Linked DNA regions of Bombyx mori. The protein of the gene in region 2 interacts with the protein of the main gene of each other region in a pairwise test. Links are inferred from orthologs where the notes say so. Each region holds a gene or a part of one and is shown on either strand. Other genes may lie near its edges.

What was found. The genes of interacting proteins can lie anywhere in the genome.
Region 1: the proteins of ras-related protein Ral-a (region 2) and exocyst complex component 2 interact in a two-hybrid assay, tested with the Drosophila melanogaster proteins (2 studies listed by BioGRID). The link is inferred for Bombyx mori from reciprocal best matches to the Drosophila melanogaster genes Rala and Sec5.

What each region holds. Positions count from the first base shown.
Region 1 is NC_085121.1:12,815,438-12,822,052, forward strand, and holds the end of exocyst complex component 2, read left to right. Parts: intron 1-1,373; coding exon 1,374-1,561; intron 1,562-2,378; coding exon 2,379-2,438; intron 2,439-3,019; coding exon 3,020-3,104; 3' UTR 3,105-4,242; downstream 4,243-6,615. Other genes in the region: ATP-binding cassette sub-family C member 4, read right to left, coding at 4,260-4,283, 5,920-6,060, 6,401-6,615. UniProt on the Drosophila melanogaster protein: Component of the exocyst complex involved in the docking of exocytic vesicles with fusion sites on the plasma membrane.
Region 2 is NC_085114.1:15,862,614-15,869,786, reverse strand, and holds part of ras-related protein Ral-a, read right to left. Parts: intron 2,771-7,173; coding exon 2,591-2,770; intron 2,172-2,590; coding exon 2,011-2,171; intron 1,805-2,010; coding exon 1,630-1,804; intron 1,476-1,629; coding exon of another isoform or gene 1,425-1,475; exon of another isoform or gene 1-1,424.

The sequences.
Region 1 (6,615 bases), on a different chromosome or scaffold from region 2:
TCTTCTTTTCTTTTTCTCCACCTTATCCCAGTAGGTGGGGTCGGCACAGCTAATTTTTTTCTTCCATTCTCTTCTATCACGTCTATTCGATCAGCCGTCATCTCAACACTCACTCCTCTCTCTCTCTCATATCGTCATTCACATACTCCATCCGTGTCTTCTTCCGTCGTTTATAATTAACAAATAAAAAATAGGGGTTGATCGTAGAGGGGTGAAAATTTCAAAGTAAGATGAAGTTTTTTATTCTAAGTCATAACAAAATAAAAACAAAATTCTTACAAAAAAATTTAAAGTTTTTAATTAGCAAATAAAGAATAAGGGTTGATCGTAGAGGGGTCAAAATTTAGGGTTGTATGTATTTTTGTATGCTGTATCATAAAAACATAAAAACAAAAATTTTTGTCTAAAAAATAAAAAAATAAATTTAGGGTTGGACCACCCTTAACATTTAGGGGAATGAAAAATAGATGTTGTTAGATTCTCAACCCTGACCGATATGCACGCTAAGATTCACGAAAATCGGTCGAGCCGTTTCAGAGGAGTATGGGAACGAACAATGTGACACGAGAATTTTATATATTACGAGAATTTTATATATTACGAGAACTTTATATATTACGAGAATTTTATATATTACGAGAATTTTATATATTACGAGAATTTTATATATTAGATTAGATTATTTTGTCCGTGCTGTTTGAGTCATAAATAATGGCTTAGGTGGGGAATATATATTTTTTTTATTATCGTCATGTAAGCGATTTTGAAGGATGGGTAGGACAGCTGGTTCGCAAATAGTATACTATCGCCTCGTTAAGCGATTATCGGGGAGTGCACTCTGAGCGGTCCCCCTACCGTGGTTCGTGAGGAATGTCGAGCTACACGACGACCTTGACCTCGAATCAACCCGGAAACGCATGAAGTCAGCCTCAGACCGCCGCCGCTAACTGCTCCCCGAATCCTGATTACGCAGGAGCCAGTCCCAATCAGATCCAATAACCCTTGCATTAGACGTCTTTAGCTTAAGGATTCTGTGCACGTTTAGGGACCCTGGCAACCGTATTTGTGGAACTCGGCAAAGATTTCGACGTGCAACCTAACCTAAACATCAGCCCGCTGAGCTTCTCGCCGGATCTTCTCAGTGGGTCACGATTCCGATCCGGTAGCAGATTCATTCGCGAAGCAGCTACTTTTGAGTTGTTAAATCTCCCTTGGAAGCGCTCGGGTAGATGTTAGCAAATCCCACCCTTCCTTGCTGAGCTCTTGCTCGCCCACCTGTCCTTATGGAACTGGAAAGGCCTCCGGGCCACCAGTATTCACACAATCATAAAAAAGGCTGGTCCACCCGTCTTATGTATAATAACGATCGTCAGACTGACAGCGTGTGTGGCGCGTCGGCGGGGCGCTACGTGCGCGACATCTGCGAGACTGTGTGCGAGGAGGTGGCGCGGCTGGCGGCGTGCGCTCCCCCCGCGCTGCCCCGCCCCGCCGCCTTCCGCGCCACGCTCGAGTACACGCTGCTCTCCGTCGCCATCAGGGACCACCTCACCAGGAAGGCAGAGTCAGTTAACTATTTTCATTTGTTTCTTTATTAGCGATGCGGCCAGAGGAACAATACCCGATCCGGTGGATCGAATGGTAAACAGTCGATGTCGCCCTAAACACGTAATTTCGGATCCTCTCGATCCGGTAACGTTGCTTTTAGGTACCTCAAGCACCGATCATCGTTTGCGTTGAACCCGTCGCTTGCGACGACGGGCTTAACGTGTAAATTAACCCACAGACACAGCCCACTGAGTTTCTCGCCGGACCTTCTCAGTGGGTTGTGTTTCTGATCCGGTGGTAGATCATTTACTGGTGGTAGGACCCCTTGTGAGTCCGCGCGGGTAGGTACCACCAACCTGCCTATTTCTGCCGTGAAGCAGTAATGCGTTTCGGTTTGAAGGGTGGGGCAGCCGTTGTAACTATACTGAGACCTTAGAACTTATATCTCCAGGTGGGTGGCGTATTTACGTTGTAGATGTCTATGGGCTCCAGTAACCACTTAACAACAGGTGGGCTGTGAGCTCGTCCACCCACCGAAGCAATAAAAAAAAATTCAAAGAAATTTTACATTAAACATTTTCGTATAGACCTCAAATAGAAAAACTGAAATCATGATTGTTCGACCTGATGTCTGTAATCTTCAGAGTTAGGATGCTGGACCACAAAGTTGACTATTTAAAAAAGGTGGTTTGAAAACACATTTGAACCGAACGATAATTCTTAAGGCTAAAAAATGTATATTATAAATCGTTGACAAACAATTTCAGTCATAAGAAACATTATGTTTTATTGCGTAAAATATTTAATTTCAATAATTGTCTTCTCGGTTGCAGAAACTACTTAAAGGAGGCTCTAGCGGCCGTGCCGCCGCTTGAACTTGAAGAAGATAAAATGTGAGTAAAACTATTGATCAGATTCACATTACGCAGTGAACAGAATTTTATGGCGGGCGTAGTTTGTATAGGAACTATTTATCTATACTTCTATACTAATATGTATTATAAAGAGGAAAGATTTGTTTGTTTGTTTGTATTGAATAGGCTCCGAAACTAAAGGACCGATTTGAAACATTCTTTCACTGTTTGGGAGCTACACTATTCCCGAGTGACATAGGCTATAATCTTTTTTGAAAAAAAAAACTGGGGATCCTTACTAAAGCTCCAATAATATAACCCAAGGTGTAAACAAATTACTTAAAATATTATTTACATCGCGTGCCCTGCGAAAATTATTGATGATAGAATAAAATAATGTACTACGACTTTGTAGAACATCTTATTATTTACAAAAGTGTCGCGACAGAATATGTCTAACTATTACAGTCATGCCGCAATAAGCGTTCTTTTATTTTTAAAAATAACACAACGTCAAATATCGTTGAAATTTTTGTTAAAGACCCGAGCGGAGCCGGAGCGGGCCGCTAGTTAATTATATTTTAACTATATCACTCACCGTACCACTTCTTGCGTTACAGACGTATGCAAAGTATTGTACAGGATTTCAAGAAACGAATGGCACTTCAGCTGGCGAGTTTGAATTGTAACACGGAGACAGTTTAATTTACGAATTCACTTCAGTATTATCAAAGAATTCATTTTGAATGACGAAATTAAATATGATAATGGCTTTTGAATAGAATTAAAGTGGACACAGCGAATATGTTTATTTTATTTACATTTGTCTTATTTTAATGTAGAAAATAGTTATTTTAATCTTAAATGCATAAAAATACAGGGGTGGACAGACGTTTGTCTTCAAAATCTAGCAAAAGTAGCAAATGTTATGATGGCGGAATTATTTGCACACAAACCACAGACCATGAAATCACAAGAAACCACAGACTTATAAAATGTTTGAAACATTACAGTGCAAAAATTTTTCTGGGTCAATTTTTTTTGCTTCTAAGACGTGTAATCTCTGTTATATCAGCTGTAATATGGAAAACTTTTGCTAAAAAAGTTTTTTTTTCGGAAATGTCGTTTCTTTTGTATTTCACTTTGGAAAGTTCTTTTTTTTTGTATGAGAGATTGAAATTTTAAAACCAATCGCATAAATTTTAGGAAATCTCATCTATAACTAATATCTAATTCGTGAAACAAAAAATAAGATCAAAATTTTAAACCATGGCAGTGTTGATAACAAACACTATTAAAAGAATTGAGTCTTCCACCTCTTTCTTGAGCCTCAGTGCCATGCAACACCAGACTGTCACAGAGTTCGTTAATTAACCGATATTTATAAAAAATCACTAAAGTCCGGCCGCTGGAAGAATGCACTCGTGATTTTACGATTTTTGTTACGATGTAACTTTGAAGTAGGGTTTAATTTACGTTTATTATTTTTTTGACCTACAAATGTATAATTATGATTAATAAGTAAAAGGTTATGTCAATTTAAAATAAATATCATAATCTTGCGCTAAATTAAAGTTAAATCTTTCATTCCCCGACCCTACCTCTACCGTGTAGATGTCAATATAAATTGTCACGATAAATTTACACGAAATGTCACTATGAATTAATTCTCCGTCTCCACCTCTACCATACCGTGTAGATGTCAATATAAATTAAGATTTTTTTTAAATGTATATTTATTTATTCATATATTTAAAATCAAAGGAAACACTAAGCAAAGTATTTTATTATTGTTTCTATAACATAACATTATTCATAATAAACGATTATATTGTTATCTAAATCAATGTGTTTTTATTTCTAAATCTTGCTCTTCTTGTAGTTCTGAAAATTAAATACCTATTAAAATGTTTTTATTTTATTTATTTTTTATTGCCTTTGTAGGCAGACGGGCATACGGCCCACCTGATGGTGAGTGGTTACCGTCGCCCATGGACTTCAGCAATGCCAGGGGCAGAGCCAAGCCGCTGCCTATCGCTAAATGAATAAGAATTCGTCATGTGATACTATTCTACAATAGCGAAACTGCCTTAACGCTATTGCCAATATTTTGAACAATGTCAATACATTCCTGGATACTGCCAGCCGCACCTCTGCTTGAACAGGCTTCATGTTACGTACATAAGATATTCAGAGTAACTAATCTTGGACCATCTTTAAACCAACAGCTCCTTATTTGAAAGGTATCGGAAATGTTCTCGTACCAAATATTTCACAATTTTCATTGTAGACAATATAAATATATTGTACCCAACAGCAAATTGTTTAAAAACAGCATCGAATTTATCAGTAAAACGACGTAGCAATTAACGTTTCAAAATTGGAGACCAGGAATAGTGGACTTGTAGAGTGAATAAGTATATTATTTGTGGTGTGAAATGCTCCTACCCCTCTGGAATTATCTGGGATTTTTTATTTCTTTTAATTTTTAACCTGCGCTCACCGATTATGTGTAAACTTTATTTTTACATTTAAATATTACATTCCTTTTTTTTTATGAATGAAAGATTACTGGTGGCCCGGAGGCCTTTCCAGTTTCATCAGGTCAGGTGGGCGAGCAAAGGCTCAGCCTGGAGGGGTATTACATTCCCCCCACCAGACCTGTATATAGATGTCACTTGTTTCTGAAAATATTCTAGAATACTTGCTATTTTTATTCTGGAAAACGTCACTTTGTATATATGATATTTGGTAAATTTTATTATCGCTATTATGTTCGTAAAACTTTTTTTTGTTGCCCTTGTAGCCAGACGAGCATACGGCCCACCTGATGGTGACTGGTTACCGTCGCCCATGGAATTCAGCAATGCCAGGGGCAGAGCCAAGCTGCGGCCTACCGAAAAGCTAAACAGTTAGACGTAGCTATATAATAAACAAGCGACCCGCCCTCGCTTCGCTTCGGAAACTGTAATTTATTATTGATTTCTCCGCTATTTAATGGATGTAATTTATTATACATACAAACCTTCCTCTTCAATCACTCTATCTATTAAAAAAAACCGCATCAAAATCCGTTGCGTAGTTTTAAAGATTTAAGCATACATAGGGACAGACAGATATAGGAACAGAGAAAGCGACTTTGTTTTATACTATGTAGTGATGACTTAACAAATTTTTAGCACGATTGTCATCTATATATATAAAAATGAATTGCTGTTCGTTAGTCTCGCTAAAACTCGAGAACGGCTGGACTGATTTGTCTAATTTTGGTCTTAAATTATTCGTGGAAGTCCACAAAATGTTTAAAAGGTGAATAAATATGAAAATGTTCGGAATTATATAAAAACAAACAATTTTGTTTTTCCTTTGATGTGTCTCCTGTTGGACGGATTCCTTTTGTTTTTTATAAGTTTATTTTATACAAAAGTTTAGGTCTTTTATTTATCGATTGAGGCAGTACAAAGTCTGCCGGGTCAGCTAGTAATTAATAACTACTTGTAGTAGAAATCGCGATATGTACCTGAGAGGCTAGTTTGTGGAGTAAATTCGACATCGACGGGCCTGTTTCCTGCACCATTTTACGAAATTGCCCTCTCTTGTTTTGCAGAAGTATATGAGGATGGTCGAACTCTACCAGACGACCCGCGTCTAGCACCAAAATCTACATCGAACACAGCATTTTATTATAACAATAATATATGACGGAGCGAGCGGTTCGTTTGTGTTTCTAAAATGAAGGACGAGCTCACAGCCCACCTGGTGTAAAGTGGTTACTGGAGCCCATAGACATCTAAAACGCAAATGCCGCCACCCACCCTGAGACATGAGTTCTAAGGTCTCAGTATAGTTACAACGGCTGCCCCACCCTTCAAACCGAAATGCATTACTGCTTCACGGCAGAAATAAGCGGGGCGGTGGTACCTACCCGTGCGGACTCACAAGAGGTCCTACCACCAGTTAAACCAGGGGCACAACTAAAATGCTGCTACCTGCTGACTTACCTTGTTAGAATCTATAACAGTGTTCAATCTGTGCGCAATGGTAAGCACAGTGCATTCTTTGAAGTGTTCCCTTATGGTGTTTTGAATCAAGGAGTCTGTTTGAGCATCGACATTAGCGGTCGCCTCGTCCAGTACTAAAATTCGGTCGTTGTGGACGATGGCTCTCGCTAAACATACGAGTTGGCGTTCTCCCACACTGAAGTTTGATCCACCTT
Region 2 (7,173 bases):
CGTGCACACGCAGCGCGCACGTCCTAGGGTTGCGCTCCACGAAATGTTTCAATATTTATGTTTATTGTGGTAACAATTTGTAGAAATAAAAAACAGAGCGAGCAACGCGCCTCGACATTTCAGCAAAGCCAAGCAGAGCCACGCGCTCTGTGAAGCGCAACTTAAAACGAACAGTAACAAAAGCTGGTGCAAAGCTCAGGCTTGGCTTTGGTGGAAATGTAAAAGTGTCGATTCGAATGGACACTACCGACACCCGACTAGTGACACGTTCCAATCGACTATTAAAAATTATATACCAAAATATTTTGTAATAACGAGTGAGGCTTATTGTTTTGAGATACATTTTGTCAGATTTATATATTTCAAAGTATTTCATTTAATTAATTAGTAAGTATACGCTGTTGCTGCTTGTACGTCATTTCAACGTCTGTATGTCAAAGGCTCTCCGATGAGCAGCCCTGAGCTCGTCGGCACGTGTACAACAATGTGACAAACTTTGCCTTAGGAGCCGGACAGAAAAGAACATCTCATCTTAATAGATGTGACGCGACGTAATGCCTAACCTTTGAAAGTTGACAAAATATCTCCAAAAACACTTAGCCTTCGTATAATTAGGTACTGTACCGGATTGTGGAGATTGAGGAGCTGGTAACGACAGAACTAGTCTAGGGCACCTGTGAGTACTCACCTCAAGTCAACTTTGTATAATCCTCAAAACTGTGCGTCAGTAGCGGCAGTGGAGCGTGTTGGGGTCCGCGCGGGGCGGTACCCCCGTCCGACTCAATCCTACCTCGAAGCAGTCAAGTGTTCCGTTTCCGAGCCGGCCCGCATAATGGGTGTCGGACGTCACTTCTCTCTCTCTCTCTCACTTACTCACTCACACACACTTCCATGAACTCATCTTTGTTTCACAGTTAGTGACAGCATCGTTGCGACCCCCAGGGTTGCAGTAATCACTTACGAACCCGTCCCTATGCACACCTCGTTACATATTTATCACAATAATTTTCATGACGACAGGCGGATATTAAATATCTTTCACATAATTAATTAATTACAATTGCCTATTTATATTTCTTTAATACACTCTAATCGTAAAGTCGATATAAATAATTAATCGATATATCTTATCGTATGGGACAACCCTAATCCTAGATTAACTGCTTATCAGTCGTTCACCGCTTAATACCTTTTGTATTAACATAATCGTTTTTATTATTTCCATACAATGTGGTTGTGCTCTTGTTTAATACCACAACTTGTTATTAAGAATAAATAATTGAGCCAAGCACACCTAGTACTTCCGTTATCACATGAAGCACGAAATAAAAATCAAACTGTTTAATTCAAATCTATTCTCAGTAACAGAAAACCCTGTTTCTATTTTTCCAAGTTATTCTTCCTAACCGAAACAATTAAAAAGCTTACCTGAACATAAACCGCAATCCATCCAATATTCTGAGTTGTCTGGCAGCCTGCAGAACATGAACTAAGATAATTCCATCTAAATAATTTTGAGAAGAAATGATTACCTTACCAAGGGTATCCTTGACCTGTGGCCTATTTCTCAATGTGGGTTCTGCTGGACTTATAAAGACTCTAAGTACTAGAGCTTAAGGAAGAAGTTACCTTATCGACATTGTCCCTAGTTTTCGCCGAGGTCTCGACGTAGGGCACCTGCCAGTTGTGCGCCCTCTCCCTGCAGGTCTCGAGCGGCACCCGGCGCTTGTCCGCGAGGTCCGACTTGTTCCCGACCAGCAGGAACGGAATGTTGTCATCGTTTTTAACACGAAGGATCTGCTCTCTGTAAAGAAGTGGCAGTATGGTATCTTACTCCTGCCAAAATTCAACTCCCGCAGCCGTAAAGAAAATCACGCCGCTTTTATAGATATTAAAATGATCTTTAGTTCGCAATCACGAGTATAGATCTTCATAGTCAGAATTTTTTGAGTGAAATTCAATTTGTAATGAAAATGAATTCTGGAAGCCAATGATCAATTCTTACATTACCTGAACTCCTGTGTGGCATCGAAGCTCTCAGGCTCAGTGATGGAGAAAACGCAAAGGAAGCCCTCGCCGGATCTAAAGTAGTTGTCCCTGATGGCGGCATAGTCCTCCTGGCCCGCTGTGTCCAGGATATCGATCTGGACTTCCTCTCCATCCAGGACAACCTGGACATTACATAAAATGAATGCGTACGTTATGGCTGACCTGAAGGTGAATGTGCGTTATGCTCAATTACAGCATAGATATGACAAGTCTACTCCTTTCCTAATGCAGTTAAAAAACTATCTTTCTATAATTTTGGTGAAGACGGATCGTAACGTAAAGTCAGAACAATGTATCCTCTTATTTACTGGTGGTAGGGCCTCTTGTGAGTCCGCGCGGGTAAGTACCACCACCTTGCCTATTTCTGCCGCGAAGCAGTAATGCGTTTCGGTTTGAAGGGTAGGGAAGGGTAGGAGAACTTATATCTCAAGATGGGTGGCGGTATTTACATCGTAGATGTCTATGGGCTCCAGTGAACACTTAGCACCAGGCGGGCTGTGAGATCGTCCACCCATCTAAGCAATAAAAAAAAACTTCTTACCTTCTTCCTGTAACTATCGGCTTTGGTGGGCTCGTAGTCTTCTACGAATTCATCGTACATAAACTGCAGGGTGAGGGCGGACTTGCCGACCCCCCCCGAGCCCACCATGATCACCTTATGCAGCGTCGGCTGCGCGGCCGGCTTCTTCGACATGCCGACACGACGCTCCACACACGGACACTGCAACAAGGAGTCATTCGACGACATTACAATCTTAAATTTACTTTGGATAACTATTACTGGTGGTGGTGGGGGTGGTATACTTATTACTGGTGGTAGGACTTCATGTGAGTCCGCACGGGTAAGTACCACCGCCCCGCCTATTTCTGCCGTAAAGCAGTCGTTTCGACTTAAAGGGTGGGGCAACCGTTGTAACTATACTGAGACCTTAGAACTTATATCTCAAGGTGAGTGTCGCATTTGCGTTGTAAATGTCTATGGGCTGCAGTAACCACTTAACACCAGGTGGGCTGTGAGCTCGTCTACCCATCTAAGCAATAAAAAAAAGATAAGTCTCATAAGGCATGCAGTATGAGGCGCTTGGAATTTAAGTGCGCGAAGTACCCTGAGTTCCCCCTTCCCGCGTCGAACTAGAGATCAAAGATTCATGTTGGACGTGACGTGCGTGACGGTGTTGCGTATTTCGCACAAATTCAAAGATACGAAATGTCTTATTCACATTTTACTAGTAGTGCGGCTTATTGTAAGCCCACACGGGTGAGTATCACAGTCCTGCCTGTTTCTGCTACAACGTAAGCACACCTTCCGGTTTCAGTGACGGAACCATTATTCTCCTTGTTAGATTTAAAGGCTCCTGTTGCCACATCTTATAAGACTGGCTGTAACTTAATATCTACAGCTTAAAAAATGATAGAGTTCGTTTCAAACTCTATGTGTGCGCAGTCTGTATCCACATTAAATGTCTCATATTAACACCCAATTTCAAAGTTTTTCTACGAGTCATCTCAGTCTCCTCTATAAACACAAGCACATCAAATACCTTAAATATACGGCGATCAAATTTATTTGAAACATCCGCTCAAGAAAATGATAAGTGTATAAATACTTCTAAAACAATTTAGATTCATAATCTAGGTCCACTGAACATACCGTGTAGGCTGGTTGACTGGTAGGAGGGTGAAGTGTTTTATTGCAAATAAAAAAAAGGAGTTTGTAAACAACACAGAAATTGTAGTGGTCTAAAGGATATGATGCCTGAAGACCGAATAAAACAAAATATTAGCATATTTCCTATATTTTTTTGGGGGAATGTCGCCGATTTTGTGGCTTGTGTCGCAATCAGCACCGCTTGAAGCGCAACCGACCCGTTTCTATGGTTAAAAAAATATATCATAAAAATTCTAAATAGCATGGTGACACTTCTTAAAATGTATATTATGAAAACGACAGAGCAAAGACAACTCTTGAAGGAATTTTAATTTAGCGGACACGTGTGGGAGATGTGCTCACAGTCGCAGTTAGATCCCATGACGTAACCACGTTATGGAAGTGATATCTTCAATTAATAGAGAAGGATAATCGTTAACTGTTATTTTGATAAAAATCAGAGAGTTATCAAAGTGCGTTTATAAATTTTAGCTCCCGTTAACACATTTATCCATATCAAATGATCTTGTGTTATTATTAACGTAAATGCGTAGGCGCGCTGACCGCCTGCTTAATCTTAAGAGCACCACAGCCTACTGGGACCAAGCCGTCAATAAAATATCGTAATATAAAAAAAACAGAGATCCACCAAATATTAGAGATGGGAGGGAGCAGCATTATCCGAATAGTATAAAATCAGCATGCTGCAATTTGTTAATCTGCATTTAATAGTGATAGAGGCGACAAACATATGAATACACGCGAGGGTAGGCATTTAATATTATACATTATGCAGGTACGCACTAATAACCAGCTGGCCGTAGGTAATCTCATCTATAAAATATAATAAAGCAACGTGACATATTACTCAACAGAGCACACGCAATACGACCCATAAATTCTCCAATTTCATTGTTTTGTAAAGAGCATCGCATGCTGACGTAACACAGTACATACTAGCCTACTAAAAATATTAGCAAATATAATTCAACGCGTGAAATTCGATATTATTTGCAACGTAAACTTTGACGTTACGTAATTATGAAATGTATAAAAACATATTTTATTTCAGATATCACGAACACAAATAACAGTCGAACGATTAAGAGTGGTTGAAATTGCGTTGTGATGTGAAAATTTTCAGTTTAGGGACATATAATCTTGCATTTAGATGTCAAGTAGATACCGGAGACACATCGTGAATGGTACCGTCCATCGTGATACATGGTGTTTAAAGTCTCAATTGTAGAACAGAGCATAAATATAAAAGTCCATCTTCTCCACCTACCCTTATAAAAAGACGTCAAATGCCCTAATAGGTATGTAGCGAGCGCAGACTTAGAGTTCCGATCGTTAATCAAATTTCACTGGTGACTGGCATTCAATAAAATCTTCCTTATAATTTCCGTTTATCTATAAAATCCTTATCCCATCAGACAAAACAACAATATACTCATACATAAACTGCTAAAATTTCAAGGTGGACGAAAGCAAGCTCCTGTCTAAGGCAGCACGTGCTTTGAATACACAAGATGCTGACATAGTGACTGAATTAGATTACAAAGCGGTCAATACGAGCGATTAGCTGAGAAACGTGACTGGGAATAATAAATCCTTCGTATCAAATGTTATTCTTTTTTCGTCATTGAACTTTTGAATCATAGGCCGGTAGTTGATATTTTATTAATATCGAATACTAGGTAAGCCGTGGGGTCTTTCATCCATGTGTGCAATAAAAATCCCCCTTTTTTCCAAAAAAGTAATCTATACTCTATATTATTTTAATATTATAAAGAGGAAAGATGTGTTTGTTTGTTTGTATTGAATAGGCTCCGAAACTACTGAACCGATTTGAAAAATTCTTTCACTGCTTGAAAGCTACACTATTCCCGAGTGACATAGGCTATAATCTTTTTTGAAAAAAATTAGGGATCCTTACTAAAACTCCAATAATGTAACCCAAGGAGTAAATAATTACCTAAAATATTCTTTACATCGCGTGCCCTGGGAAAACTATTGATGATAGAATAAAATAATGTACTACGACTTTGTAGGACACATTATTATTCACAAAAAGTGTAGCGTAGTTATGCCGCAATAAGTGTTCTTTTAATTAAAAAGATAAAACAACGTAAAATATCGTTGAAATTTTTGTTAAAGACCCGAGCGGAGCCGGAGCGGGCCGTTTGTTAATTATAAACTGTTAACATATCGCAACATAAATCGCAATGTACAATCCACTGTCAGGAAAAGATCGTAAAATGCTTCAAAGAAAGTGTGAACAGCGCTCATGCGTTCAGATTTCAAAGATAGGATAGCCCCCCTTACATAAGCGACTTCTAGCTCTTGGCTTCAAGTGGATGGAAATATTCACGTTATTGAATGTATGGGCGATATCAACCTTTTAACACTAAACAGGACTTGCTACGGGTGTACATTACGAGAAAAGAAATAAGAACTCAAAATATAGTACATAGCGACCCGCCCCCGCTTTGCTTCGGGAACATTGATTATGAAAATAGGACGTCAGATATTTTTCCTACTTACTTGACACTTATTGTTATATTTTGAGTAACTCACAATATATCTTTATAAATTATAGCTTATATGTTATTTTGGTGTATAAGCTATATTATTCTAGTTTCATCAAAATCCATTCAGTAGTTTTTGCGTGAAAAAGTGATAGACATCCATACATTCTTACAAGCTTTCGCATTTACAATGTCAGTAGGATGTACCTACAACCTGTTTGTTCAAGATTCGGTTTTCAGGTTATGCTTTCGATGGGTTTACGCTACATCTTTTTTTCTTTTTTTATTGCTTAGGTTTGTGAACGAGCTCAAAGCGCACCTGGTGTTAAGTGGTTACTGGAGCCCATAGACATCTATAACGTAAATGCGCCACCCACCTAGATATATAAGTTCTGAGGTCTCAGTATATTTACAACGGCTACCCCACCCTTCGAACCGTTCGAAACACATTACTGCTTCACGGCAGAAATAGGTGGTGTGGTGGTTGGTACCTACCCGTGCGGACTCACAAGAGGTCCTACCACCAGTAATTACGTAAATTATAATTTTGCGGGTTTGATTTTTATTACACGATGTTATTCCTTCAGCGTGGAAATCAATCGTGAACATTTGTTAAATACGTATTTCATTAGAAAAAATAGTACCCGCTCTGCGGGATTCGAACACCGGTGCATCGTTCAACACGAATGCACCGGACGTCTTATCCTTTAGGCCGCGACGACTCTATCTCACCTCATCTTATCGCAAGATAGTTCGTTAGCCTTTACCTTGGAAAGTGCATTTAATTAAACTTACTTTCATCTTTCCCACATTAAGAGTAAAATTTTTTCTCACCATTTATGATTCGATTGTATAATATGTGAAATTTTCAAGTCACTAAAGCTACGAGAAAGAGATATTCATTTTTCTGGACAACCGAATTTAGTTGCTAATATGGGATAATTA